Linked DNA regions of Nothobranchius furzeri. The protein of the gene in region 6 interacts with the protein of the main gene of each other region in a biochemical or structural test. Links are inferred from orthologs where the notes say so. Each region holds a gene or a part of one and is shown on either strand. Other genes may lie near its edges. The genes, in order: GRB2-associated-binding protein 1, ptpn12, flt4, csf3r, proto-oncogene tyrosine-protein kinase Src, shc1 and zap70.

Region 1 (3,766 bases), on a different chromosome or scaffold from region 6:
CAGCAGGAAATTAGAACACTGATGTTAAGAAGCTTTGCTCCACTCACATTTCAGCATCTGAAACAATTAGCACTTGTTTTATTAGCTTGATCAGCGTTAGGATCATTAGGATGAGAACTTTGTCCACCAGCAGGACAAAGGTGTGTTTCAGCAGGAACATTCTTCTACTGCGATGCTGAAACCGCTTTATTCCCTGTTGGAGAAAAAGAACATTAATAGGGACGTTTACAGCCGAATTCTCCTCATCCAGACAAGCATGGACTTGGTTTAATACACAGATGTGTCTGGTGCCAGGCTGTTAGCACCATCTAGATTCAGATCTGGTCAAGCTCTGTTTGCACTGTGGAAAACACACACAACATGTTTGCCTGAAAGTTAAAAAATATATATATATATAAATATTAGAGTGTTGTTGTTTTTACGTTGTGCATTATCAGAGTCTATCATGTTTCTGCGCCGTTGGAAGTTAAACGAAAATAAAACACTGGTGCTTTTGTGTTTCAGGCTCCTGGCACATTCCTCTGTCTCGGTCAGACAGAGCCAGCATGTTTGAGTTCAGCGAAAGTTTCAACAGCTACTTTGTAAGTTAAACCAAATACTTGCTGAAACTTAAACGCACCATGTGGACCTTCGGGTCACTTCCTCTTTGAAATGCTGTTTTGTTTCCCAGTTTAATAAAGGCATGGTACCCCTGGGCAGCGTTTGCTCTGAAGACGATGACGTAGAAGAAAGCTACGTTCCGATGAGCGCCGCTGCCACCGAGCCTCCGCCAGCATCAAGGTGGGGGGGGGGGGGGGGGGGGGGCTATTTTGTTCATCCCTGTTTGTTTTAGGCGACATTTAAAAGTTAGTGAAAGTCGTTGTGAAGACTTTGCAGAAAAACCTGCATTCAATGCATCAGTCTATACATGGACGTAGTTTTCACTTTAGAAGTGTGTGGGGGGGGGCACGGGGGGGGGGGGGGTCGTTATTGTATGTGCTAACGGGAAACAGGCTTCAACACAAACGGTTGTTTTCCGCTTGGTCCTAGAGCTCAACCAGTCAGTTTCAAATAGCATAGTATTGTTTTTGGATGGTAAAAAGTGCAGGGGTCAAAACTTGACTTTGGAAAAAGTGGGGGGACATGCCCCCCCCCCCCTAAAATCACGTCCATGAGTCTATATAATATTACATTATGTAATTAAATGACAGTTAAACAGAACTATAGAAATAAAATGGCCACAGGTGTGGACTCGAGTCACATGACTTGGACTTGAGTCAGACTTCATTCATTATTTTAATGACGTCTGACTTGCCTTGATAAATCTATAAAGACTTAAGACTTGACTCGGACTTGAACGACTTGCATCGGTTGGCTTGATGATGACTTGAGCATATTTGATATTTTAGCACAAAAGTGGTGCAACATGGACAAAAATCCTAAATCATTCTTGGTTCTGGGTTTGATCTTGTTCTGCTAAATGCAGCAGCACTTTGTTTATAATCTGTTTCAGTTGCACTTTCTGCTTGTTTGAGCAAATAAATGAAGCTTTAAGATGCTTTATTTCTGGAATTTATTTATTATCATCATTAAATGAAGTAGCACAGATGACTTGATTATGACTAGAAAATTCAAAGTTAAGGTCTTGGACTTGCCTTGGACTTCCACATCAATGACTTTGGACTCAACTTGGTTGTCTTTGACTTGGACTTGACTCAAGACTTGACTGGAAAGACTCATGACTTACTTGTGACTCGCAAAGCAGTGACTTGGTCACACCTCTGAAAATGGTCACCTGTAGACCGTACCACCAGAGGGCAGTAGACATGTACTTGACAGGACATGGCAGGGTTAAGGTGATGGAGATACTGATCCCGATACTCCACCTGGCTGCTTTAAGGCCACAGGTGGGTTCAGGTTGCGTGCTTTGTAGTTTTGACTTGCTTTTAGCTCCCCCTAGTGTGCGTTTAGTAGAACCAAAAGCAAAAACTACCTCCTTGCGGTGCGTTCGTCTTCTTAACACCTTAATCTAACTGCTGAAATGTCTCCCAGCATCCATTAGTGTCTACAGGAGTGATGCATCGCTAAATTAAACAAATCAGCTGTGTTCATGTAGAAAACAATCAGACTGCAGTGTCAGGCATGTCCGATCCATTTTTATTAAGTCCAACAAGTGGCGGCCGGCACTCTGAAGTTGCAAGTGCAATATTCTGGCCACAGAGAGTGTTGGGGGTCTGAGTGACTTTTCATTAACCCTGTAAAGGGTCATCTTAGCACATCCTAGCTCAAGAAAATGATTTATTAACGTGGAAAGGTTGCAGGTAATCCTCATCGGGATAAATAAACCCGTCTCTGGTAACTCTGAGAGAGGGAAGCCAACCAAAGGAAACATTTATTACCCATAGACACAAGGGCGGAAATCCCATTTCAATTTTGGGGGGGGGACAATAAACAGTAAAACTTCAGAGAGTAATTTTTGGGGGGGACATGAAAAAATGCTCTCTACATACAACACTGTATGTCCTTATAAGAGACTGACCTGCGACTCTGTGCCTGACAGGCTCTGGCTGCCTGTGCTCAAGTGACTGGACTTTGCCTAATGAAACCATTTAGAAACAATTTCATAGGCATTTCATTTCTTTCTTATAGATGTCTTTATCAAAATGCAAGTTTCTACTTACTTGACGTTCTGGAGCATTAAAAATCGACCTGATGTCTGCCGTTTTTCATTTCTCTGCCATTTCAACTGACCTGGTCTGCTGACAGTTGGACAGCAACACACACACAGATGGGATGTACATCTCCATAAGCATCCTTTCTTTTTGTTTTCATTTCAATAACAAGACTGTGGCCTAAAACGGAATAAGCAATTCAGAATAAAGATTTAAAAGTAGATCGTTGATAGTTGAAGCAACCTGTCCTGAAATGGCATGGCTATTAGCTGACCAACAGCTACACGTGTGGACGGATGCAAAGCATTAATTTTAAGTACTAAAACATATCTAACTTTTTCACAACAAAGAGAGAGAACATAAATGTCAAATTAAAATTTTATTAAATCACATAACATGAAAGCTACTAAAATCCAAATAGTTCCATATTGATTTTAATACATTTGAAATTTTCCTTCTAAATATGTCTAGAAAAAAAAACAACCTTCTAATCAGCTTTCACAAGTCAAGTATCAAAATGACTGAAATCTCTTTAATAAATCATAGAAATGTTTGTAGGCTATTAGAGAATAACTCTGTAATATTTAATAACTTTATCTAAGTCCTACTGAATGAAAAGATGCACAAAATCTAAAAAATATATTCTTGAAATATTTGTTTCATTTTAATAATAAAAATTAAAAACATCTACTTTACAAATACACTAAACATACATACTCTATAGTTTATCTTTCAGATTAACAGATCTCTCACTTTTCTCAGTTTTCATAGTGTTTTTGGGTCTGTGTGGCCAACGCGATCTTTGGCTCTATGTTTTACACTGAGAGCTTTGAGCAACGTGCCTCCAACACACATTTGCTGCAACCAGTTCATCCCTAAGCTGCACGGTGCACCTGCACTTTGACATATTGTAAACAACTGCAGAGCCTGGGGAAGACGGGATAAGAGCGGTTAAACGCTGTGATTTTCCATACATCGGACCAGTTAGTTTTGATTCTACCATATTCATCTGCTAAATAGGATGAAACGCGGACATTTTCATCGATCTATAAATGCTCCGCAGATTCCAGGGGAAGACCGTGAAAGCGTACGTGTCCGGAAAAAGGAACTTTTGA
Region 2 (4,308 bases), on a different chromosome or scaffold from region 6:
TTTTTAATTTCTTCCAGGGTGGTGCTCCCCCCTATCTGGCCACACTCCTGAACAGACATTCCCCATCACGCGCTCTGCGCTCCTCTGACCAAGGCCTGCTCGCTGTTCCTCGTTCTAGGTGTCGTACTCGCGGGGACCGGGCGTTCTCAGTCCTAGCACCGTCACTCTGGAATGAGCTGCCACCATCAGTTAGGCTGTCCCCATCTCTGCCAGTCTTCAAGAGTCGCCTAAAAACACACCTCCTCCGCTTGGCGTTTCCTGAACATGTTTGATTTTGGCCCTCTTTTATGTTGAATTTATTTTACAGTTTTCATTGGTTCACTCTATCCATTGTTTTACACATTTGTCCTGTACTAGAATGTTTCGCCTTTTGTGTAATTTGAATTGCTTTTATTTTTGATTTATTCAATATATTTACCTTCTACTGTACCAAGTTCAGGGCCTTGGGCTTCCTGACAGGGTTGCGGAAGGCACTTTATAAATAAAGCTTTGATTGATTGATTAAATCATTAAAACATGAACTCTGGATACGTTTGGTTCAGAAAACAGATACAATTAGAAATATACAGTTATATAAGGAAGATGGATGGACAACTTTGGTAAAATACATATATTACATAGTCTAGTACCCCCAGCAGAGTTGTGCTTTCTAACAGTGTTCAAGTTGTGATTATGCAATCAGGTTACCAACTCTCAGAATGTTAATGTAAAATAATTGCAACAACAGCTTTACATGATAAATAAACCACAATAAAACTTAAAAGCAGCTCTTCTGCTTTTATCCAATCTCTGAATGCCTTATGTGATAATCCAATTTGATTTTCTGAAATTAAAACTATTCATAGAATTAGTGATGCACTGATTTGAAATATTTGGGCGGATACTGATATCCGATATGAATCACTGTTATGGCTGATAACTGATATTTGCCAATACCAATATACTGACATTAATGCTTCTAAAATCACCAGATTTTGTACAGAATGAAAATTATTAAAGCTGAATTTACGTTATTATGTACACACACCACACACATTTACACTTCTGCGATGATTAAAATAACTGTCACATGACTAAACAAATACACATGACCTCCCTCACCCTCTGAAAAAGATAAACAAATGGAAAGATGGAAAAAATATTGGTTGTTAATATCAGCCTGGTTTTATTTATCGGGCTGATACCGATATGTTAAAAAATGACTTACAAGTGCTGATATCGATATTGATGCCGATATATTGTGCATTCCTACATAGAATTGATAAGTTTAGCGTCTGAGGAGTGAGGACACAACTAGCCCGACATGAAGTTCTAGTTAATGTTTTTGAGAGTATGAATTAGAGTTGAAAAAGTTCCACTATTGAGCCAGCACAAAATGTTATGAAATAGGCCAAGAAAGAATGTTGCAAGCTCCAGCAAGCAGCTTGGATGAAGCAGGGAAGTAAGCAGTGTTTGTTTGCAAGTGTAGGCAAAAGAACTCTGACAGGGATGGGACTCCAAACCAACTCAATCTAAAACATTTAATTCCCGGAAACAAAACATATTGGTTAGTTTGTATTTCAACTATTTGAAAAACAGTTTTTACAATATTTCAGATTGCTAAAAATCACAAACGTGGAATTAAATGTTTGTCCTTAACATAACATTTTGAAACATTGTAATCAAAGCCACCCAACTAAAGTGGCCACTTGAGCACAAAAGCTATTATGGACGTGTCATTCATGTTGTGACTATTTCAGCCACAAGCCCAGGAGTGGGAGAGGTCCAATTAGGAGATCAGAACTGCAACATCCAGACATGTAGTGAGAGGCAGACCCATTACAGAGCAGTCTGTGGTCATCACAAAACAAACTAAATGTGGTTTTGAAATGACTTCATCAACAAACAATTACAAAAAAGGGCTCAACACTGGCTCAGATATTTAATTTCAGGCATGCCCAGGACACAAGTTGCAGCTGATGATTATGAGAGGGAAGTAGAGGAGGGGAGTGGTAGTTTTTGTGGTTGGGTATTACTATTTGCACTGAGTTGCGTGATTATCACACATAACTGTTTAAATTAAACTTAGCTATCATTTTAGATGGTGTAGTTTCACATTACAGGATGTGTTATGTTACAAAGTGAAGATGCAAATACTGGTGAGTCTATCAATCACTGCAGAACACGTGTTCCCAGTACAGTTGTATTTTTGATGTAGATTTAAATTTATACAACAAAGGAACTTGGAGGTAGAGGAACTAGTGTGCACCTAAGATCTGTTAGAATAACACAATAGGAAACACCAGAACATCCCAGTTTAGCCTTAGCTAAAGCTGCTCTTCGCTATGCCAGACAAAAACATCTAATGGCTTTAAGGTGACGTGACTTGTTTTGCTGTTTGCCTCTTTGATTTGAAGACAGGAGTTGGTGGCGTTTCTGTGCGGTTCGGGAGACAATGCAAGGCCGCCATATAAAGGCTGGAAATGGGAGGAAAAGGAAGTGGGCATAGTGTGGCCGCCCCCGCCTCACCTCCTGGGGGATACAGGGAACCATAAGACGGGAAAGGGGGCTCGGATATAAAGGGTCAACATGAGGAAAACGTGGATATTTTGACACAGGAAAAATTAAGAAGTCTAGCTTTAGACTCCTGCTGAATTAGGCTCACCATAAAGTCGCTGCCAAAGTTGTCCTCCCCCCTCTTCTCGTCTCTTTCACTCATGGTCTTCACCCCCTGGATAAACTGTCTCAGGATGCCGGCTTGGTCCATCTTTCAGTCCTCTTAAAACGCTGCCTTTTTCCGTTTAAATATATCTCCCAGACTAACAAGGGGAGGAGAACATTAAAAATAAAACAGCAGAGGACAAAGGAGAGGGAGAAGGGGAAATAAATAAAAATAAATAGGCTTTCACGGGTCCTCCCAGAGAGTCATCGTCGGTCCACAACACAGCACATTTATTTATTATCGCCCCATGTTGTTTCTGCCTTTCCTTCTTTCTTCTGGACTGTTTTCACGACAGCAGTTAGTCCCAAAGAAAAGCTGCAACGGCCGGCTAGCCAGCCCCTCGAACAAGTTTACAACCGCGGCGTGGAATAAACTGTCAGTACGAGGCTCGGCGAGAAAATACAAAATAAAGAAAAAATACCAAAAAACCCGGTCCGGTCAGTCTCTGTACCCCTCCCTGTCTACCTCGATTGCCACATTCACACTAGTGCTCGTTATTCGCTACTGGAGAACATCCGGACTGGGCAAAACCGACGAGATGTAGTCCCGCCTTTTCCAGGATATACCTGTTTCTGATTGGTAGCAAGAGAACGTGTGACAGAATGTTATTGGCTGAGACGGCTGCAGCTCTACCAAACGGCCTCGCGTGATTGGATAAAACTTATGCCTGTTTTTCTCAGTTTATCAGCCACAGGCATCCAACATTCATAGTGGGAACAATCAATCAATCAATCAATAAATAAATAAATAAATAAATAAATAAATAAATAAATAAATAAATAAATAAATAAATAAATAAATAAATAAATAAATAAATAAATAAATAAGATATCCATGTAATGTGTATTATTGTCACTTCAGAAAAATGAACAGACGTATCTCCTTTTAACAAAACAATATAATCAGCAAAAGGTTCAAATCAATTTATTTATTCAGCATGCAGAATTTGACATGAACTGTCCCCTTCCAGCGAATGAGGCTACAATGTTATTACACATATGCTGTAATTCAGTTAAAATGATAATTATACGTTTCAACTCAGTCTGTCATACAATTTGAAATGTATTTGTTTGTAAAAAAAATTCTCTAATAAAAAGACAACAAATCAGAAGTCTCATTTATGATATCACAGCAGACTCTGACACTTTCCACATGGTCAGATTTATAGTGATTTTCTTATGTTTAATTCTCCTTCTTTAGTCCTGGAAGATGGATGTGAAGCTCGCTAAACTCAAAGCCATTTTTCTTCTCTTTGGTTTGATGATGTAAAATTGTTGGGACGGGCAGTACATCTTCCCACACAAAACCTAAAGGATCTTTTGTTGCCTGTTGTGAATAAGTACTTTCCTGGCATCAAAATGTGTCATTAAAATTCCCACAAACTATAAGTGAAATCCATGACACATATCGAACAGGATCAGAAAATAACTTTTATCACCACAGACTCCCATTTATTGTTTTTGATAATAAATGGGAGTGTTTTCTTCGCTTTTTTAGGAAGTGAGTCACATCACAGCTGAGCCTCAGTGGAAGAAGATGGCCGTGACTTTTGTCTGGTAAGAGCATTGCACAGGGAAGCAACAAATTACACTTTAATAGATGGATCA
Region 3 (4,202 bases), on a different chromosome or scaffold from region 6:
TTAGAGTTGCGTCCATCTGAATATGTTTACAAACTAACAGTTTTTATTTAGAGACCTGACGTATGACAGGACTGATGAGATAATGTCTAGTCTGACAGTCAGAACCAAGGTGGACTGTTGGGTTAAACCAGCTTCAGGCTCCTAGAAGTCACATCACTGTTGTAAATATCTCATTACATGCAGAAATGAGAAGAACACTGAGTTGAACTTGAACTCTGGATGCCCTGGATATGCTACTTTTAATAACATAATGTATTAATATAAGGTAAAACCTAAAAATAATGTACGGTCAAAAGTCCATTTATGTCAGTGATTCAACTTAGACTGAGAGACCATCTAAAGGCTCAGGAACTCTTTGCAGATGTTTAGGATTCATTAGCTGATTAGAGTGTGACACTGAGTGTAACCATTTAAAAAAAGAGATTTTTATATGTGGGGTTATCATGAGCTGCAATCCATAATCATCACTATTGTAACAAATAAAGGCAGAAATATCTGGCTTTGCTTGGAATGAGTCTGTCTCATTCATTAGCTTCACCTATTAGTTAAATTAGTGGCATAAATAACATTTTGCCCCATATTCGAATTGTTGAGTTTCACTTGTAAAGAATTTTTGAAACATATCCAAGATGATGGCAATCTATATGATGATGGCAACTCTTCAGTCCCAACCCCCCAAATATTCAGACTGAGGCTGTGAACAGGTCAGATATTTATTATTTATAGAATTACCTCACAAACGCTATTAAAATGACAAACTGAGAGTTAAAATGTGGCGTGTTTCCGTGGCATTTGTCAGGTTCTCTCCTGCTGAGGCTTTTTCAGAGCTCTGGTGGCCACCTGCTGAGCTATTGAAGGTGTTTTTGTGTCTTCAGACAGCCGTGAAAAGAAATCACGTTATTTTATTTATTTCATAAATAAACCCCAAAGCACTCCATGTGGTCCTTATTGCTCTTAACCCGACCTTTACCATCCTCTCTGTAACTGCTGCAGGCAGGTCTGGATGAGGCTTGATGGGAATCTGCAGGAAGGAAATTTGTCATGGACTTTTGGACGACCCTCAACACACGCACGCACACACACACACACACACACACACGCACACGCACACACGCACACACGCACGCACACGCGCGCGCAGAGAATTCAGCTTGTTTTAAACTGGGTGGGTCGTGTGCTCCAGTCACGAGCAGAGGAAAGGGAAATCATTGTAAATCCCTTTCAGTGTCTCATGCATCCGTCTGACGGACAGGAAAAAAAACGGTTTTATTTGTTTTTCCCACTCCGGTTGGGTTTCACCTGCGCCCCCCCCCCCCCCCCCCCCCCCGCCCCCCATTTCCTCTCCAACATCCACGGATCTTCATCCAACTTCTCACAAGTTCACACCAGCATTACCACCAAGCACGAGCGTGTGCCACAGATCTACCTGGAAATGAAGACAGATTTCACGCTTTTCTGTCGGACTTGGATCGGAATCGCGTACGCCTCAGGTGAGACTGCCGGGCAAAGTTTGGAGCGCAAAACTTTCCTATTTTAGTCGAACAAACTTTTTGCACTAGTCTTAATCGAGTTTGTCTTGATGAGTAAACGTGACAGGTTACACGTTCAGATCCACGTTTTGGACGTTTTTGAAGTTTTAAAGCCGGTCTGTCCCACTCATTATAAACCCGTGTGCAGAAGCAGTGGATATTAATTGGAGCTATTAAAATGACTCAGATTGCCTCAAAGTTCCCCAACGCCTCTGAGAATCAAACTAAGTTAATAAGTCTGCATGCAAATAGGCACTAGAGGGAGGCATGCTGTTGTTTTGACTAATAGAGATGGAGCTGATAATTGATGGTTCATTTAAGTGGTCTCAGATCAGTTTTACATGTGGGTCACGTTGTGGAGGTGAAGGAGCCCACTGATCTGGAGTCAGACACATAGAGTGTTTTTATCCCCAACACATACCTTAAAAAGAGGCTAGATTTTTAATTTTATGTGTTCTCTCTCTCTCTCTCTCTCTCTCTCTCTCTCTCTCTCTCTCTCTCTCTCTCTCTCTCTCTCTCTCTCTCTCTCTCTCTCTCTCTGTCTCTCTCTCCCCCTCCCTCCCTCTGTATGTCAGTGGAAAGTTCTTCTAATGTAAAGCACGTTCTTTCACCTTTTGCCTCCTCTCGCTAACGCCCCTGCTTTACATTTTGTCTGAGACTGTTTGCAGCTATTTTTTATTTTTGGCTGAAGATCTGATGTTGTTCGTGGTGACTGCTGTTTTGCAGCTGTTGGTAACGAGCAGCTCTGCAAGGGGCATTCACCATATGGCTGCCTGGATCATCACTCTGATTCGATCTATCTATATCTGAGCTGATGTGCTGACTGGGACATCCATCCCAAACGGAAGGGCTTATTGTTCCTTAGAGGACCTTATTGAGAAAAACCTTTTTTGTGAAATGCTGAAATCACAAAAACTTGCATGATCAGTTACAGGAGTGTGTGTTGTGAATGACTCTCAGATACACCAAATTCCAGCAAAAAGAAGTAAATGAGCTAATTTTCTGCTAAATTGACTGAGTTTTATCCATTTTCTTTGTTGGCCAAGGTCAATGGGTTGTGGTAGCCAACTTCAATGTGGTGGACTTGAAAGGTTATTCAGAGAAGAAAGGTACAATCAGGTTAGAATTTATGTCTAACCATTTCAAGACAAGAAATTTGAAAACTAAAGTCGAGTTTACACTTCTCCGTCTGCATCGCGGCGGAGACATGCAGCACCATTACGCCTAATTTATACTCCTCCACGAGGAGAGACAAGCACACACGGACTGCCCTCTGACTTCACCGTCTCCTGGGCAGTGTTGCAAAGCAATTCCCCGCCAGGACAACAGAGGGCGTAGTGCTGTTCTGTGGTATCCTGTCATGTATCCTTTCCAAGATGGTGCATAATATCATATTTATGTTGTTTTTTGTATTTAACAGACTTTTTAACACAAACAAATTTGTCCCTCATTCTCCTTCACCTCTGTGCACTCGCCACCTCTAAACCCAGGTTTCCCGTAATTTTTGTCCACGAACAAAATGCTTGCTGCGGATCTTTTCACTCCTCCAGTCATGGGGGAACGTCTGCCTCTAGATCTCCTCGGCTGTCTTTATGTTTTTGAGAGCGCATGGGCGGTGCTGTAGACGACAGCGACTTCCTGACCAATCACAAGTTTTGTCAGGTTTTTGCAGACTTTTTTTTAATCAAAGGTTTGTATAGGGTAAGCTTAAGTTAAACTTTAGCCTGTGCCCTTTTGGTTATAAACTATGATCAAGTGTATTGGCTAATTTTCACAAGGAATCAGGGATTTTGTGTTTTGATTCAATTCTGTTTATTTATCTAACACCAAATCATGACCAGAAATGTCACAAGGCACTTCACAATGTCCATCCATCCATCCATCCATCCATCCATCCATCCATCCATCCATTTCCGCTGATCCGTGATTGGGTCGTGGGCTCGGTAGCCTAAAGACTTTCCTCTCCCCAGCCACTTGGGCCAGCTCCTCCGGGAGAGTCCCAAGGTGTTCCCTGGACAGCTGAGAAACAGTCCCTCCAACATGTCCTGGGTCTTTCTTTGCAAATCCTCTCGGTTGGATGTGCCAGGGCACTTCACAAAGTAAACATTCCAATTGAATGTAGTTCATTAGCCCAATTAGTTAAATGTTTCTTGTATAAGTAGCCCAGCAGGTTGCATCGAGTCACTGACTAGTGTCAGTGACTTTACAGCAGTCGTCAGCAAGCATGCAGCGACAGTGGAGAGGAAAACTCCCTTTTAACAGGCGGAAACCTCCAGACAATCCTGGCGCAGCATAAGCACCAAGTAGTGTTTCTGTGGCTGCATACATCGTGATTTCTTAGTAGATATTCTATTTCTTAACAAAATCAACTTTATTGGATTTATTTGATTGAATCTGGAATAATTCAGCAGGTAAACTAGTAGTAGCACATTCTATGATAAAGGAAGTAAAATGTTATTATCAGGATAGGGATAATGTTTAAGTGGTTAGCAGCAGTGTGCTAGCTGATGGCCCCTTGAGGAGGCTACCACAGCTCAGCAGAACGCCAGACCTGGTGTAGCTTCTCGGCAGAGAAAAACACTTAAAAAAGCAGAAAGTTAACACCTGAAATAACAGGAAACATGTAATCGGAGAGTAGTGGTAAATAAACAGATGGAGACACTCATTTAGTTT
Region 4 (3,766 bases), about 7.6 Mb from region 6:
TCAGACTGTACAAGAGCTCAGGGATGCCCTCACACAGATCTGGGAGGAAATGCCACAAGACACCATCCGCTGTCTCATTAGGAGCATGCCCCGACGTTGTCAAGCATGCACACAAGCTCGTGGGGGCCACACAAGATACTGAAAAGCAATTTGAGTTGCAGAAATGAAGTTTTTGAAATAATGGACTAGCCTGCCACATCTTCATTTCACTCAGATTTTAGGGTGTCTACACAATTGAGCCCTCTGTAGGCTGATAACTTTTATTTCCATTAAAAGACTTGGCATCCTTTTGTTCCTAAGGCATTGCCCTGTCATTATTTGTATAGATATCCAACTTCATATTGAGATCTGATGTATCTAATGTGTTTCTTTAAAGCGTTCCTTTAATTTTTGTGAGCAGTGTAGTTTTGTGCAGAACAGATGCGCTCCCAGAAAATTTTCATGAGGGAGCCAGAGGTGGCAAACCAAATTGGTCCTTATGGTGATTGGTTTTCAAGAAAGTAAAAAAGCCCAGTTGTTTTTTTATATTTTACCTTGTTCTAAAATGAAAAACATTTCACATCTAGAAAAATTTTATTACTTAAAATTAAGGTAAATGTTCTTAAATATGATCCAAATTCTCTTGTTTTGAGCAAAATTTGCTTAGCTAATTTTTCTAAAATCCAGAGAAATAATTTAATGTTTTTATTTTATTAACTAGTTTGAAAAATTCTAGCTAAGCAGCTTTTCCTTACCCCATAAGCAGATTTTTTAAAATTCAAAACAAGACTATTTGGATCACATTTAGGAATATTAATGATATTTTAGGGAATGCATATTTTTTGTGATGAGACTTTTTTTCTTTTCAGATAAAAAAGATCTACAAATGTAGCTTTTATATGGTCTTGAAAACCCAGTTTTTGCTATGTAAGGACCAACTTGGTGTGCCACCCCAAACTTTTCTCTGGCCCCCACATGAAAATTTTCTAGGGGTGCCCCTGTTCTGCGCAAACTTCGTTTTTTCTCCAGATGGTTAGAAAAGTAAACAAGGATTACAGCTATTTTTAGCTCTTTACAAGGTGTTCCTTTTTAAAAAGTCACTTGTGTTTTTTCCTACAAGCTCAGTGCTTTTTTTTTAATGATTAAAATGGAAAGATGTTGCACGATCTTCTAAATCTCACGTTGATAAGCCAAAACTATTTAAGGTCTTAAATGTTGATTGTTGTTATTTCAGCAAAGTTTGACCCACCAAAGATTCGAGCCATCACAGCAGACCCCAAAAGGTTGGGCTGCCTGAAGCTGGTGTGGCGCTTGTCCCAAAATCAGGAATGGATGTACTTTAACTGTTTAAACCTACAAGTGCAGTTTAAAGCTGCTGGCAGCGGCCAATGGTCCGACCCACTGGTGAGTTTAAATCAATTCACCTTTAATATAAAATGACAGCGTGCTCTTGTGTTTCCTCAGCAAGTCTCCAGAGAGTAAAGATGCAGTGTTGATAGTTGCAGACAGTCATGGCTGCACGATTTTTGTCAGACCTTCCCAAACAGGACTAGATCGCCCAGACCGATGGATTTGTGTCGTCTCCTTCCTGGGACTGAGTATTTAGCCCAGATCAGAGTCCAATACAAGCAGAGCCCCTGGAGCGAGTGGAGCAGCAGCAAGTCTGGAGTCACCCCGGAGACAGGTCGGGCTCAGATCAATTTAAAATGACACAGTCACTTTTAATCTTTGCCCTTTTCTTTCTACTCTCAAATTCAATTCAATTCAAAAATACTTTATTAATCCCAGAGGGAAATTCAATTGTTTCAGTACACAAATATGACCTTCAGCTCTTGCTGGTTAGGTTCACGGCCGAGTGTGAAGCGGCTGGGATGAGGATCAGCACCTCCAAACCTTAGGCCATGGTTCTCGACCGGAAAAGGGTGGCTTGCCAACTCCGGGTCGGGGGAGAGGTCCTACCTCAAGTGGAGGAGTTTAAGTATCTCGGGGTCTTGTTCACGAGTGAGGGTGGGAGGGATCGGGATATCGACAGGCGGATTGGTTCAGCATCTGCAGTGATGCGGACGCTGAACCTATCTGTCGTGGTGAAGAGGGAGCTGAGCCAGAAAGCCAGGCTCTCGATTTACCGGTCGATCTACGTCCCAATCCTCACCTATGGTCATGAGCTTTGGGTAATGACCGAAAGAACGAGATCGCGGATGCGGATACAAGTGGCCGAAATGAGTTTCCTCTGTAGGGTGGCCGGGCTCAGCCATAGAGATAGGGTGAGGAGCTCGGACAATCGGGAGGGACTCGGAGTAGAACCGCTGCTCCTCCGGATCGAAAAGAGCCAGTTGAGGTGGTTTGGGCATCTGGTCAGGATGCCTCCTGGACGCCTCCCTGGGGAGGAGTTTCGGGCACGTCCTGCCGACAGGAGGTCCCCGGGTCGACCCAGGACACGTTGGAGAGGTTACATCTCCAATCTGGTCCGGGAACGCCTTGGCGTCCTGCCGGAGGAGCTGGTGGAGAAGGCCGGGGAGAGGACAGTCTGGAGCTCCCTAGTTGGGATGCTGCCCTCGCAATCCGGACCCGGATAAGCGGAGGAAGACGACAACGACAACACACATATGCATGTCTGCATCTGTAGCTTAGGCTGAATTGCAAGTATCGCGTTTTGTCGTTTACCTCGCCAGCGGATCTATAAAAACCTGCCTTGAACAAAAAAAAGTTCCACTTTCTAAAGTGTTTGGAGGCTTTTTAATGACACTTTCTTTCCTTTCAGCTCCTGTTGGACGTTTGAACACGTGGATGAAGGTTTCCAAAAGCCAAATGCACAAGCAGCTCGACGTACAATTGTTCTGGAAGGTGAATGCCTTTTCACTTGTGGTTCTGGCAGAGCTTGAGAGGTTGTGCTTTTGTTACTTCTTTCTAAACGTTTTAGCCATCAAGACGTTTCCGCGCAAACGGACAAAATGTGTCCTACGTGGTCTCGCTCCAGAAACGGCTTGGTGAAAGGTGGAAAGTGTGCTCCACAGGCATGAATCACTGTACTTTCAAGCTTTCTGCAAGAGTAAAGACAGTATATCTGACAGCTGTGAACAGAGCAGGAGCATCTTCCCCTACTGAAGTGTGGATTTACCAAACTAAAGGTAATAATTGTTGAAAATATCGTTGGGAACATCTGGTTTCTGCACGCAACTAAAAGTTTCTATGTTTGCAGCTCAGACGGCGGTGTTGGATGTCACAGCTGTTCCTCATGATGGATCATTCTTGGTCCAGTGGACAACCGCGGCCCCATCAGACCTCACTGGTTACGTGGTAGAATGGAGGCCTTTGTTAAAATCAGACCTCTCACACATCCTGTTTGAAATTGTGGACAAAAACCAGTCCAGTCTTTCCCTTTATGGTAAGCAAACTGTTCTTTATCACACGTTTTAGAAGGAACCTCCTCCCTCTTCCTGTCGTGCATAAGCCGTCTGTACACACTGTTACCATCCAGCAGCCACTGATCCACTCTAACCTCTCCACCCTCATCAATAGGCAGCTTTGAGCCCTACAAGCCCTACGGGATCTCCGTATATCCCAGATTTAAGGATGGGATCGGGCCTCCGCAAACTGTTGATGCCTTCTTGCAACAAAAGGGTGAGTCATGGAGGATTGTGCAAAGAGCAAGCAAAGGTGCAAGAGTCAGCCTGTATCAACTTTGAAGTAGTGAGAAAAGCACTGGCAAAAATCAGATGACATCAACTGGGCAATCCCCTTACTGGAGGCATGATGTGTGAGGAAGTAGTGCCCTCTTGTGGAGGGA
Region 5 (4,260 bases), on a different chromosome or scaffold from region 6:
TCGTGCTGCAGACACGTGTCGTCAATAATTTGGCATTTCAGTGCATCTTAGTTAAAATTCAAATATTCTGCCTAAAACTGGCAGTGTTGTGCCGTTGTCAGGTAAAAACTCTGCACTGTATTTTAATTTAAATCTGCCACCGCTATTGGTTAAGAGGTATGCTATGATGTAAACTGGTACATTATGATGTCACAATGCTGTCGTGAGCCTGTCTTTGTGTGTATTTGTTAGCAGCTCCGCCCTCTCGGTCTGCCAGGCAACAGAATTTGTTGCATTTTTCAAACATGAAGAGGGAGTGAAGTAAGTTTCTTGTACGAGTTGACTTGCTCTTTAAGAAATAGTTCCGAACATTCAGCACGTGAACGTGGCATGTCTGATCACACCGATTGTGACTTAAGCTGATAAAATGACAACCCAAAACAAAAACATTTGTGGCTCTGAAGTCAGTCTTACCTTGTGCTAAGATTTTACGTAGGAAACAGAACACTTTTTTTGCTAATCCATCCCCCTGTCCCAGGTCTTATCAACCCTGATTTTTCTTGTGATGATGAGCACACTATTGCTGCACATTTGGCTATGACAAACCTGACTGAGTCACAACAGACGGTACCAGTTGTTGCTGTGCTGCAGAGACTGAAGGAGCTCTGGCTAATGTTTCAGTTCAATGGGGAAATTACAGTTTGCCCTCGGGAGAGAAGGCGAGGAAGAGGAGGTGGGGAGGGGTCAGCGATGGTTCCCCATGATCAAAACAAGAGGAAGCATTCACATTGGCATTGCCGTCTTGTCCTACTTTACATAGTCAGAGGAAGAGAAATGGACTTGATTAGGTCCAATGAACATCAGAACCACATCTTCTTGTCTTCTAAGCCTTTACATGAACAATCCAACATGTGTGGAAAGGGTAAACAAGCTCTCCCATCTCATCTGTCCTCTGGCAAACACACTCAGGAGAGACAAGGGGAAAAAAGGAGGAGGAGGAAGACGGACAGACTGAGGCACTTAGCTGATAAAGAAAAAACACTTCCGTCCATCTCTGACTGAAGGCTCTGGGAACCAGTGATCCTGGCCGTGGGGAGCGGCTGCTTCAGCGTGATTAATTTTACAGGACATGATGGCCATTTCATGTCAGAGATGTCACGTCATTTACAAATTCTTAAAACTCACCCTGTTCTACGTGTACGCCCCATTTCTGACTTACATTTATTCAAATGAGAGCATTTTATTTATAATACTCCCTCTGATCAAAACATGTCTAAAGTCTCCACTCACTTTTACACTGAAGGCATTAGGAAAGTAAAATAACCTTTTGGTCTTCTTGAAGTCGATATTCACCTGGAAGCCTCCATGCAAAAAAGTTCTGCGACATAACTCATGAGTCGGTGTTCAGGGAACACCTTTTCAACTAGTGAGACATGACAAGCAGTCGGAATTACCTGAAAACAGGCAGGAAAACATTCCTGAAATGTTCCTAGTATCAACACCAAACAAGATCAGGAAAGGTGGGAGTTCACTGAAGGCTTTAGTTCCAGATTAGCCAACCCTTGATTTTAGGAAGCTGTCTGTACATTTAATGTCTGCTGACTAAAACAGATGAACGCATGAATAAATAATGGAGACAATAACATAGCTGCAGCCAATTGAGCCAAATATTTTGAATGACCCAAAAACAGAACATCATGTTTATCACCCATTTGCCCCCATTTATGGGATAAAAATATTTAATTTTGCTTTTACAGCCCAGTTAGATGTTGCAGCTTCCTTTATGTTTGGTGGATCAGCAAGTCCACCAGTAGCTCAGATACTAGGGCTTTAGGATTAAAGTTCCTCCTTAATAAGAAACCTGGATCTCTTTCCTCCCAGAAATTAGCTGGAACAGCCCCCCCCCCCCCCCCCCCCCAAAAAAAAACTATCTGCTAATAAACTATTAGCCACATAATTAAAATTCTATTTCCACGGGATTAAACACCAGTTGTCAGCAAAGCTGCTTTCAATGAAACGCGGGGTGGGGTGGCTGCTGCCTACGGGAGTAGCAACTGTCAAAACGGAATCTTTGCTTGGGGAGAAAATAAAAATAAAGACATAACCTAATTAAAAACCAGCCAGAGTTAGCAGGGCGATCCGTTTCAGGTGGTTTCTGGATTTGTGAATGGGAACGTGGATTGACTTATTTTTAAGAGGGCTCAGTGACAGACAGCGGTAGCTCCAGTGCATGTGGCCTGATGAATCAAAACAGGTGCTGTTACAGCTCCATTTTGGATTTCGATGGATTGTTGGCTTCTTTTTCAGAGCAAACTCGTCTCATCGGATTTTCTCTGAGCATCTGGCGTCGTGACGAAGCCACGATGGCGATTTTTACAAACCTTTTGTTTTTTATGGTCTGTAGTAAGTCCTAAGGGGCAAGCCCCGGCTCAGACTGAATCATTGCACTGGCCGTGGTCTCTGAATGGCCTGTGTAACAATGAGCGTGTGTGTGTGTGTGTATGTGTGTGTAGGGGACCACAGCATATATACATGTGTGAAAACAGACTAACACCTAATTGTTAGCTCGCGGTTGGCCCCAAAACTGTAAACAATCTCCTCGCCAGGAGAGAAAAAGCCGCTACATGCTGTAATAAACTAAACCTACCTTTGACGCGTCTTGTGATTCAGCCCCCCAAAAAAATAAAATAAAAAAATCAGAGAAGCGCAGCGAGGAGCCCGGTCAGATTCGTATGGCTGTTCTCATCAGAAGAATATGGAAGCCGACGGGCAGTTGCTGTGGAAACCTCAGTCCAGCCGCAAATCCCATTTAGCGAATATCAGAAGAATCACCGGAGGAAGGGAGAGAGGTCATGACGAGGACTGATTCTCCTCAAGGAGGGAGCGCAGCTGCCGCGGTGGTGGCGGTGAGCTACGGCGGCGGTGGTCCGGGCGAAGCACCGGCAGACGGTCCAGCTGGAAAGGAGGCGACGGCGCAGTAAAAATCATGCGAACGAGCTGGAGCGGTGTTATCCGGGGAAGACCAGCCTCGTATGGGGGAGGAAGCCGCCGGAGAGAGCGCATCGCTTACGAAACATGAGGGCGAACCAGGGGCGAACACGAAAAGACTAGATTTACGTTCAAAGAGCGTCGGGAGAATTTACGACAACAACTGCGCAACTCGGCTCTGTGAAGGGAATCACTTTGGGCATGACACGAACAGATTCTGAACACCGCTGCCGCGTTTAACCCCTTTAGATCTGTTCAATACATACACAACTTTGTTACATAACAAATCCCCGGCAATGACTTAATTGAGATGATTTGCTTAAAGTACAGGCAACGTAAAGTGGTTGCTTAGCAACACTTCCATTACAGCAGAACGTGACTGTCGCATTAAAGTCAAACCCTCCGGGGTTGTTGACGTTTGGAAAACATTTGCCCCAGTTTTGAGTTTTATTGTTCCACAACGTTGTAATTTAAAATAATCTGGTAACTGAGTAAATGTAAAGGTTTGCACTTGTGAACAATCAGTGCATAGTTTATCAATTTATTTTTCAAATTACTGTCGCAATCATCTATTTTAATAAGTTCCCTTTTAATGTTTTTGTAATAGAAATAAAAGTATTTTTTATAAAATGACGTTTGGCTTAATGAAATTTTTAGCTATGAAAAAATTCTCTCTAGATATGCGATTTCAAGAGAAAGAAAGTTACAATGACACAAATAAACCCAAATTTACATAATAAATCAAAAGCATCGAGATCAAATATGGACAAGTTACCTATTCTTTATATTTAAATACATTGCAAAACTCCAAATCTCCCTATGATATTTGTGTCTGTAGCTGAACACCAGTCACACTTAACTGACTCACAGACATGAGTAAAACAATCATAAAGACAGCTGAGGTGAATGACTTTATTGGTCAGTTGTAATCCACATGCATTTCCAACAATATCTTCAATATTTATTAATAAAATGAAGGGAAACGAAAACTCTTCACTGTCAATGAACATCGTGTTTTTTTGCAGTCTGTGTGAATATGAAAGTAGGATCATTGAGAAATGTGTTCCATGTAGTGTTGTAATAATAACTAAAATGTATCAGATGACAAAAACAAACAAACTCAGATGCACAAAGCTCTATCGTTTCTTTTTGCTCTCTTTCTTTGGTTTCTGTCGAATCTGAGGTGCTGGTCCTTTGGGTTTCTTCACTGGTTCTGTCGTTTTCCCATCAGTGGACTCTGTCTCCTCCTGTGGGCCGAACACCAGAAACATTAAAAACTAAACGGCTAAACGC
Region 6 (4,451 bases):
AAAATAGGGACGCTGTTCTGGATTATAGCACGGCGATTCGTTCATATCGGTGTCAATACTGTTCTCTCAGGTAAACAACTATAATCTGTGTCCATGCTAGTACCGAGTCAGGAGCTGAGTGCAGTCTTAACCCAGCGGGTTCATTTACAACACCAGTGGGTCTCCATTCAGGGAACCCTAAGTTGGGGGTCCAAGCCTGACCAATCAGGGCTTGTTATCGTCTCAACAGGCCCACCGGTAGTCATCGTCATCCTATGACCTACATTCTGCCGTGTTACATCACCACTGTGCTACTGCAGTGTGTCTCGCTGTACCAGACAGACATCTCAGACTCAACTTTACCACGATCAAATGGTGCTCCAGCAACAAAACACACCGTGACCAAGGTGGCCAGTTCTACAGAACACACGAACCAAGGCAGGCCATTTCAGGAACCTCAGTCAGGAACGGGCTCAGCTCTAAGCCCAGTCTTAATTACTAACTTTTCACTTTCTTTTGGTTTTATATCGGCGTCTAAAGCCAACATGTCTAGCCTCTAGCCATCCGCGGTCCTTAACGTAAAGAGGCGCAACGACAGGGCTCAGTATTTAGCATACAAGTGTGGGACTGTTAAACAAGGCAGCCTGGAGAACGGGCGAGCAATCGAGGGAGGGGGAGAGGGGGACCGAGAGATCGTTTGGAAGAGGAGAGAGGAAGTGGTGGCACGGGAGAGGGCGGAGGCGTTGGAGAAGCAGAGGCTGGCAGAGTACATCGTGTGGAGGAAGAGAGAGGACTTCCAGGATAAGAGAGGAGAAAGAGAGAAGGGAGGGAAGAGCTCAGAGAAGGGAAGGGAGTCTTCACCAGAAGTGATCTGGAAGAGGAGAGAAGAAGGAGACGTTGGGAGGGAGAGAGCAAGGGCCATTCAGAGAGGACATGAAAGCATCTGGACGAAGGGGGAGAGGGAGTAGAAAGGGGAGCCAGATTTAAGAATAGTCGTGAAAAGTTGAAGCGACTGCACGACTGCAGAGTTTGAGAGCCTCCTCTCTCTTCTTCCGTGGCTCTGCAGGTGTTCGCTGTATTATCGACCAGCCGAGGTTGTGTTTTATGTGTTGCTGCTGTGTTAGCGTGTGCAGCCCCTTCTGCAATCCCCTTGTTGGCTGCTAATAGGAATTTTACAGGCCTATGTCAAGCGTGATAGAGCTGCCAAAGGGGAGCTGCTACACACACGCACACACACTCGGTTTACACTGCCATGTAGACGCGTCACAAACTGATGTACACACCTTTTTGTGCAGTAACACACACACACACACACACACACACACACACACACACGCACAAGGAGCATTCAGAGACAATCACTTGTGTTGGTTCGTCGTGGTGCTGGCGACAGCTGAATAGTCGTCCGGCACTCGGAGACGATTAAGTTGGGACGAGAAATCGTTTAGCATCGTGGCTGAAGACCATCGCTCTACGGAGAGCTGAGAACGTGTTTTCGTCCATTCAGGGGAACTCGGCGAACAAAAGCAAAAAACACCAAAAGAAACTGATGACAACATGAGCTGTTCTGGTGCTCTACAACACTTTTTTCATCTGCTCCCCACCGCTGCTGAGGAGGCCCCACCTTTCCGCAGCACCTCCTCTCCTCCTGCTCTCAGTGTGGATAAAGCCAGTTGTGAAGCGGTTTGGTGCGGGCTGCCTGAGCGGCGGACAGATGGACGCAGCTCCTACACAGACAGATACTTGAGTGTCCTTCCAGAGAAAAACTTTGAGTCGTGAGACAAAAAGACTTGGCTTGAAGCTCTGCAGCCTAAGAGGACCTATAAATAATACATGATGGAGCTCATGCAGAAAACCAAGTACACCCACATTCGGAGTGAGTCGCTGAGCTCAACAGATGAGACCAACTCCATTCCGTCGCCGTTCCCTCCATCCAGCCCCGCCACCCCTCTGACTCCCTCCCCTGGTTTGCCTTCTTCCTTCTCCTCCTCGTCTCTCACTGCCATTTTGCCCCCCACCTCCCCGCGCCCAGCTGAGAACAGCCCCACCACCCTCTGCTCCTTCTTCCCCAGTATGAGATCCCTTCGTCTCGGGGTCACTGGCACTCTTCTCCCAGTGCCCAGGTTCTCAAACAGGTCTCAGCAGTCCCAGGCACCTGTTGAGTCATCTGGAGATGATAGGAGCAACTCTAGCTCCTCCCCTACTCTTCATCAACCCATTCCCACACTAACTGCTCCCTCTCCCCCTCGCCGACCTCCTCTGCAGGACATGAACCGGCTCGGAGGAGCGTCCAGGAGGGCACGGGTGGAAGGAGGGCAGCTGGGAGGAGACGAGTGGACGCGCCATGGCTCCTTTGTCAACAAGCCCACCCGTGGCTGGCTGCATTCTGACAACGTGATCAGCACCACGGGAGTTTCCTATACTGTTCGGGTGAGTGAGTGGCACACTTCAACTGTCCAGCCTGTATTTTTATTATTATTTTTTATTTATTTATTTATCTCAAACCATCGAAAACATGAAATTGCATATGCACTCCCCCATATTCCTGGTGCATACAAAAAAAAATTTTTTTTTTTTTAAATGAGGAATACGATAAACATATGCTGTTGAATGAAACAATACAAAACATACAATAACATAAAACCATTTGAGAGGGAACTGGAAGAAGCAAAAGCTTATCTAGTCCAGCCCCAATTCAGTTAATAAATCACATTTGCTCACATTAACAAATTTGAAAGAAAAAAAAAATTCTTTATGCAGGTCGTTCTATCTTCACCTTGCTAGTTGCTACATAAAAAGACAGTTACAAAACAATTGTTCACATGAATCTACAGAAAAAAGAAAACAAAACCAATAAACAACAAAAACAAAATATTCCATTTGAAGCCAATTACCATTTTTATCACTTGCTATTTACGTATGAGTCAATTATGAGTTGTTTATACAACATTTTAAATGATCTAATGTTTTTACATAATTTTAAAGTCACATCAAGTTTGTTCCACAGTTTGATACCACATACAGATACACACATACTTTTCATAGTTGTTCGGTATAATGGAAAAATGAAGTTTTTAACGCCTCTCAATTCATAACCCTCTTCATGAGTTTTAAACAACCTTTGCAAATTACACGGCAGTACACCCATCATGGCCCTATACGGTACAAGGACAGTTTTAAATTGAATTAAGTCAAAAAATTTGAGTAATCTTAAATTGTAGAATAATGGAGTTGTATGATCTCTATATCCAGAATTTATAATTATCCTTACCACTCTTTTTTGGAGAACACAAATCTTTAATAAATTAGATTTATAAGTATTGCCCCATACTTCGACACAATATGATAAGTATGGTAGAATCATAGTACAATAAAGTGTGTGTAGTGCTTTCTGTGGTAGAGAATATCTTGTTTTATTTATTATTCCAATGCTTCTGGCTAATTTAGAACACACATATTGTATGTATGGCTTCCAACAGAGCTTATGATCAATCAATATCCCCAAAAACTTAATTTCATACACTCTTTCAATGGCTATTTCATTAACAGTCAAATAGATTTCTTTACTACTTCTTTTATTTCCAAATAACATCAACTTTGTTTTGCTGACATTTAACGACAGTTTGTTTTTATCAAACCAATTCTTAAGCTCACTCAATTCATTCTGGACCTTTAGTATAAGTTGCTGTATATCTTCTGCTGAACACAAAATATTTGTATCATCAGCAAACATAATAAATTTAAATAATTTTGAAGTTGTGTAAATATCATTTATATATAACAGAAATAACTTTGGGCCAAGTACCGACCCTTGCGGAACTCCACAGTGAACTTCGAGACAGCTAGACTTGTGATAGCCCAACTGCACATACTGAGCTCTGTTACTCAAATAACTTTTTAGCCAATTGAGAGCTGTCTCCCTTATACCACACTTCTCCATTTTTGATAAAAGTATTTTGTGATCGACTGTATCAAAGGCTTTCTTCAAATCAATAAAAATTCCCAGTAGAGCCCTGCACGGGCCTAAAATCTGAGCCCGTGTCCGGCCCGGCCCGAGGGGGTGGAGCCCCAGCCCGACCCGGCCCAAAAAGGTTTTCAGGATTCTCTGGCCCGGCCCGAGCCCAAGCCCGACTTTTTTTTAACCAACTAAATGAAAACAAAGTGCGTCAATCCTGACCAATGTGTTAAAAGACGTGCAGGATCCGAGCGTCGCAGAAGCGCATGCGGGAAGCTTACTTCCACTGAAGCGAGTGTTTTCCAAACCCTGTCTCTCAGAGAGACTTGTCACTTAGAAAATGTTCCCTGATTATGAAACTTTGGCTGAATAGCGCTTGTTCCTGTCTCCAATGTGCGACACATCCAGGAGCCGTCTGAGGAGAATCCCAGAATCTCACATCCTCTTCAGCTCATGAGCGCATATGATTACGCACAAGCGTGACCCAACACGGTCTCACAGTAAGACTGGGTTGGAC
Region 7 (3,766 bases), on a different chromosome or scaffold from region 6:
ACAGATAAAGTCCGGAGTTTTTGACAAAATGAGGGAGAACATGCTGAGGGAGTACGTGAAGCAGACCTGGAATCTGGAGGTGAGGTTTAGAATTTTGACATTTCTTTGAAAGAAGAACATTTAACAACTCAAATCTAGAGAAGTCATTGTCATATTTTATCACCTCCCTCAAATATTAAACTGGAAAACTGTTTTGCTCGAAATTACCAACAAAGTTTATCTTCATGCTTGAGAAAATGTAATTTCATATTTCAGAGACCTATTTTACACTGTGAGAAATGAAATGTTGAATTTCCATCCATCCATTTTCACCCGCTTATCCGGAGTCGGGTCGCAAAGGCAGCATCCTGAGCTTAGAGGCCCAAACTTCCCTCTCCCCAGCTACTTGGGCCAGCTCCTAGGGGGGAATCCCAACATGTTCCCTGGCCAGCCGAGAGACATTGTCCCTCCAGTCCTGGGTCTTCCCTCGGGTCTCCTCCCAGTTGGACGTGCCTGGAAAACCTCACCAGGGAGGCGTCCAGAAGGTATCCTGACCAGATACCCAAGCCATCTCAACTGGCTTCTCTCGACATGGAGGAGCAGCGGTTCTACTATGAGCCTCTCCCAGATGACCGAGCTTCTCACCTATCTCTAAGCCAGCCACCCTAGAGAGAAAACTAAATTTGGTTGCTTGTATCTGCAATCTTGTTCATTATAATTTATGTCTCATAGGTGACGGAAGGAACGTAGAGCGACCGGTAAATCGAGAGCTTTGCCTTCCGGCTCAGCTCTCTCTTCACCATGACAGATCGATACAATGCCTGCATCACTGCAGACGCAGCACCGATCCACCTATCAATCTTACGCTCCATTTTTACCTCACTCATGAACAAGACCCCGAGATACTTAAATTCCTCTACTTGGGGCAGGACCTCATCCCTGACCTAGAGAAAGCATTCTACCCTTTTTCAATTCAAGAACACGGTCTTTGATTTAGAGGAGCTGATTCTCATCCCAGCCGCTTCACACTCGGCTGCGAACTGCTCCAGCGAAGGCTGGAGATCACTGTCTGATGAAGCCAACAGAACCACGTCATCTGCAAAATAGAGACCTAGAAATCCCGTCCATCAAAGTTATGAACAGAATCAGTGACAAAGGACAAAGTTTCCTATATAAGGAACCCAGAAAATTGCATCAAGTCACTGACTAGCGTCAGTGTCTTTACAGTAATCCTCATACTAAGAAAGCATTTAGCGACAGTGGAGAGGAAAACACCCTTAGAACAGGAAGAAACCTCCAGAGGATCCTGGCTCATATAAGCAGCCATCAACCACGACTCAATGGGGATCGAGAAGACAGAGCAGACACACACACACACGCGCGCGCACGCACGCACGCACACACACACACACACACAACACCAACCCACCCACACAGGTTACATTGTGATTTCTTACTAAATATTCTATTTGGTGAGAGATAAACTTTATTATATTTATCCTAGTGAATCTATAATTAAAGGGGTAAACTAGTAGTAGCACATTCAGTATCAAAGAAAGTAAAAAGTTATTATGAGGAGAGGGAGAATGTTTAAGTGGTTAGCAGCAGTGTGCTAGCCGATGGCCCCCTCCATGAGGCCACCACAGCTCAGCAGAACATCATTGTAGCTTCTTCTGGGGAGAAAAACACTTAGAGAATAAATAAAGCTAACAGCTGAAATTGCAGAAAATCATACAGTTAAAGAGCAAATTGTAGAAGAAAGTAGTCGAGTGTGGAAAGTGGTCAGTATGTCCTCCAGCAGTATAAGCCTATAGCAGCATAACTACAGAGGTAACTCTGGATAACCTAGCCTTTTAGATGGAGGCATGTTGAAGGCAGGGCAAGGGAGAGCCGTCTTTACCGATTGTACACTCCACCTCAGTCTACTCCCCCACTTGTCCAGATCTAGGCTAACATCATGGTGTCTGCTTCATGGACTAAAGTTGAGAGCTGGTTCCACAAGAGAGGAGCCTAATAGCTAAAAGATCTGCCTCACATCCTATTTTTAGATATTCTGGGAACCACCAGTAAACCTGCAGTCTGAGAGTGAAGTGCTCGGTTAGGAACATATGGAACAGTCAGGTCACTGATGTATGATGGAGCTTGATTATTAAGAGCTTTATATGTGAGAAGGAGGATCTTAAAATCTATTCTGAATTTAACAGGTAGCCAATGTAGGGAAGTTAAGACACGAGATATATGATCTCTCTTTTTAATTCTCATCAGAACTCTAGCTGCAGCATTTTGGACAAGCTGAAGAATTTTAACTACATTCTGTGGACTTCCTGATAGTAAAGAATTACAGTAATCCAGTCTTGATGTAATAAATGCATGAACTAGTTTTTTAGCATCACTCCTGGAAAGGATGTTTATATCTTAGCAATATTCTAAAGGTGGAAGAAGGAAATCCTACAAACCTGTTTAACCTGGGATTTGAAGGACATGTCCTGGTCAAAGATAACACCAAGGTTCCTTACTTTGTTGTCGGAGATGAATGTAATGCCGTTCAGGTCGGGTGATTGGCTAAGCAGTTTCCTTTCCTGAAGGAATTAGTTTCCTTCGGCGGGTGGCTGGGCTCAGCCGTAGAGATAGGGTGAGGAACTCGGACATTCAGGAGGTACTCAGAGTAGAGCCGCTGCTCCTCTGCATCGAGAGGAGCCAGCTGAGGTGGTTTGGGCTTCTTGTTAGGGTGCCGGCTGGACGGCTTACATGGGTGGTGTTTCGGACATGTCCTGCCAGCAAGAGGCCCCCGGGTCGACCAAGGACACGTTGGAGCAAGTACACAGTATCTCCAATCTTGTTTGGGAACACCTTGGGGTCCTGTCACAGGCCTTAGTGGAGATGACCGTTGAGAGGGCTGTCTGGGATGCCCTACTTGAGATGCTACCCCCCGCGACCCAGACCTGGATAGGCAGAGGAAAACGAACGAACAAGCAAACATAATTTTAAGTGTCAAAGCAAAATGTGTTTTAACCCTTTGATGCATAATGGGCACTACAGTGGACAGGTACCCAAAATTGTTATTTATTTGTTTTTGCTATTGAGCACAGCTGTCGAAGACTTTATTGCATTTGAGCCCCTCCATTTGGACTTCAGTAAGCCAAGCCAACATATTTCATGCTCAGAATGCACGCTGTCCACTGAGGTGGACATGTAATAAATTATTTGTAAATTATAAAATTTTACAAAAAAATATTTGTTGAAATTTGTTTCATTCACACCTAAAGACGAATGAAAAAAATTGTTAAAAAAATCATGGTTGAAGATTTCATAATTCATGCATCAAAGGGTTAAAGCAATCATGGGGACACCAAAACCCTTCAAGAAGTATAAATGAGTGTGTCTGTTCAGGGGGAAGCCATGGAGCAGGCCATCATCAGTCAAGCTCCTCAGCTGGAGAAGCTGATTGCCACCACAGCCCATGAGAAGATGCCCTGGTATCACGGGAAAATCAACCGACATGAAGGAGAGAGACGGCTTTACTCCGGAGCTCAACATGACGGCAAGTTTCTGTACGTTGGTCATAGTGACTTTTCTTTTTCTTTTTTATCTGCTTTATAGCTGTTGAGCTCCTATTGAAGGTTTTTGTCTTTGTTTGGATTAGAGTCAGAGACAAAGAGGAAGCTGGTACGTTTGCTCTCTCCGTCATGTATGGAAAAACTGTTTACCACTATCAGGTCATCCAGGACAAATCTGGAAAACTGTCAATGCCAGATGGAACAAAGTTTGACACAATCTGGCAGGTTGG

What was found.
Region 1: the proteins of shc1 (region 6) and GRB2-associated-binding protein 1 form a complex in vitro, tested with the Homo sapiens proteins (2 studies listed by BioGRID and IntAct, with this or other methods). The link is inferred for Nothobranchius furzeri from reciprocal best matches to the Homo sapiens genes SHC1 and GAB1.
Region 2: the proteins of shc1 (region 6) and ptpn12 form a complex in vitro, tested with the Homo sapiens proteins (2 studies listed by BioGRID). The link is inferred for Nothobranchius furzeri from reciprocal best matches to the Homo sapiens genes SHC1 and PTPN12.
Region 3: the proteins of shc1 (region 6) and flt4 form a complex in vitro, tested with the Homo sapiens proteins (2 studies listed by BioGRID). The link is inferred for Nothobranchius furzeri from reciprocal best matches to the Homo sapiens genes SHC1 and FLT4.
Region 4: the proteins of shc1 (region 6) and csf3r form a complex in vitro, tested with the Homo sapiens proteins (2 studies listed by BioGRID, with this or other methods). The link is inferred for Nothobranchius furzeri from reciprocal best matches to the Homo sapiens genes SHC1 and CSF3R.
Region 5: of the proteins of shc1 (region 6) and proto-oncogene tyrosine-protein kinase Src, one has a biochemical effect on the other in vitro, tested with the Homo sapiens proteins (4 studies listed by BioGRID and IntAct, with this or other methods). The link is inferred for Nothobranchius furzeri from reciprocal best matches to the Homo sapiens genes SHC1 and SRC.
Region 7: of the proteins of shc1 (region 6) and zap70, one has a biochemical effect on the other in vitro, tested with the Homo sapiens proteins (2 studies listed by BioGRID, with this or other methods). The link is inferred for Nothobranchius furzeri from reciprocal best matches to the Homo sapiens genes SHC1 and ZAP70.

What each region holds. Positions count from the first base shown.
Region 1 is NC_091742.1:87,984,794-87,988,559, forward strand, and holds part of GRB2-associated-binding protein 1, read left to right. Parts: intron 1-504; coding exon 505-581; intron 582-670; coding exon 671-780; intron 781-3,766. UniProt on the Homo sapiens protein: Adapter protein that plays a role in intracellular signaling cascades triggered by activated receptor-type kinases. Plays a role in FGFR1 signaling. Probably involved in signaling by the epidermal growth factor receptor (EGFR) and the insulin receptor (INSR).
Region 2 is NC_091741.1:48,575,237-48,579,544, forward strand, and holds the start of ptpn12 (tyrosine-protein phosphatase non-receptor type 12), read right to left. Parts: upstream 2,967-4,308; 5' UTR 2,747-2,966; coding exon 2,645-2,746; intron 1-2,644. UniProt on the Homo sapiens protein: Dephosphorylates a range of proteins, and thereby regulates cellular signaling cascades. Dephosphorylates cellular tyrosine kinases, such as ERBB2 and PTK2B/PYK2, and thereby regulates signaling via ERBB2 and PTK2B/PYK2.
Region 3 is NC_091741.1:101,961,697-101,965,898, reverse strand, and holds the start of flt4 (vascular endothelial growth factor receptor 3), read left to right. Parts: upstream 1-1,330; 5' UTR 1,331-1,432; coding exon 1,433-1,490; intron 1,491-4,202. UniProt on the Homo sapiens protein: Tyrosine-protein kinase that acts as a cell-surface receptor for VEGFC and VEGFD, and plays an essential role in adult lymphangiogenesis and in the development of the vascular network and the cardiovascular system during embryonic development.
Region 4 is NC_091745.1:71,077,952-71,081,717, reverse strand, and holds part of csf3r (granulocyte colony-stimulating factor receptor), read left to right. Parts: intron 1-1,213; coding exon 1,214-1,383; intron 1,384-1,512; coding exon 1,513-1,663; intron 1,664-2,740; coding exon 2,741-2,823; intron 2,824-2,899; coding exon 2,900-3,107; intron 3,108-3,178; coding exon 3,179-3,364; intron 3,365-3,498; coding exon 3,499-3,600; intron 3,601-3,766. UniProt on the Homo sapiens protein: Receptor for granulocyte colony-stimulating factor (CSF3), essential for granulocytic maturation. Plays a crucial role in the proliferation, differentiation and survival of cells along the neutrophilic lineage.
Region 5 is NC_091743.1:58,638,686-58,642,945, reverse strand, and holds the start of proto-oncogene tyrosine-protein kinase Src, read right to left. Parts: upstream 2,840-4,260; 5' UTR 2,627-2,839; intron 1-2,626. Other genes in the region: protein MANBAL, read right to left, coding at 4,104-4,214. UniProt on the Homo sapiens protein: Non-receptor protein tyrosine kinase which is activated following engagement of many different classes of cellular receptors including immune response receptors, integrins and other adhesion receptors, receptor protein tyrosine kinases, G protein-coupled receptors as well as cytokine receptors.
Region 6 is NC_091745.1:78,657,040-78,661,490, forward strand, and holds the start of shc1 (SHC-transforming protein 1), read left to right. Parts: upstream 1-1,594; 5' UTR 1,595-1,812; coding exon 1,813-2,409; intron 2,410-4,451. UniProt on the Homo sapiens protein: Signaling adapter that couples activated growth factor receptors to signaling pathways. Participates in a signaling cascade initiated by activated KIT and KITLG/SCF.
Region 7 is NC_091748.1:67,053,345-67,057,110, reverse strand, and holds part of zap70 (tyrosine-protein kinase ZAP-70), read left to right. Parts: coding exon 1-79; intron 80-3,369; coding exon 3,370-3,530; intron 3,531-3,622; coding exon 3,623-3,761; intron 3,762-3,766. UniProt on the Homo sapiens protein: Tyrosine kinase that plays an essential role in regulation of the adaptive immune response. Regulates motility, adhesion and cytokine expression of mature T-cells, as well as thymocyte development.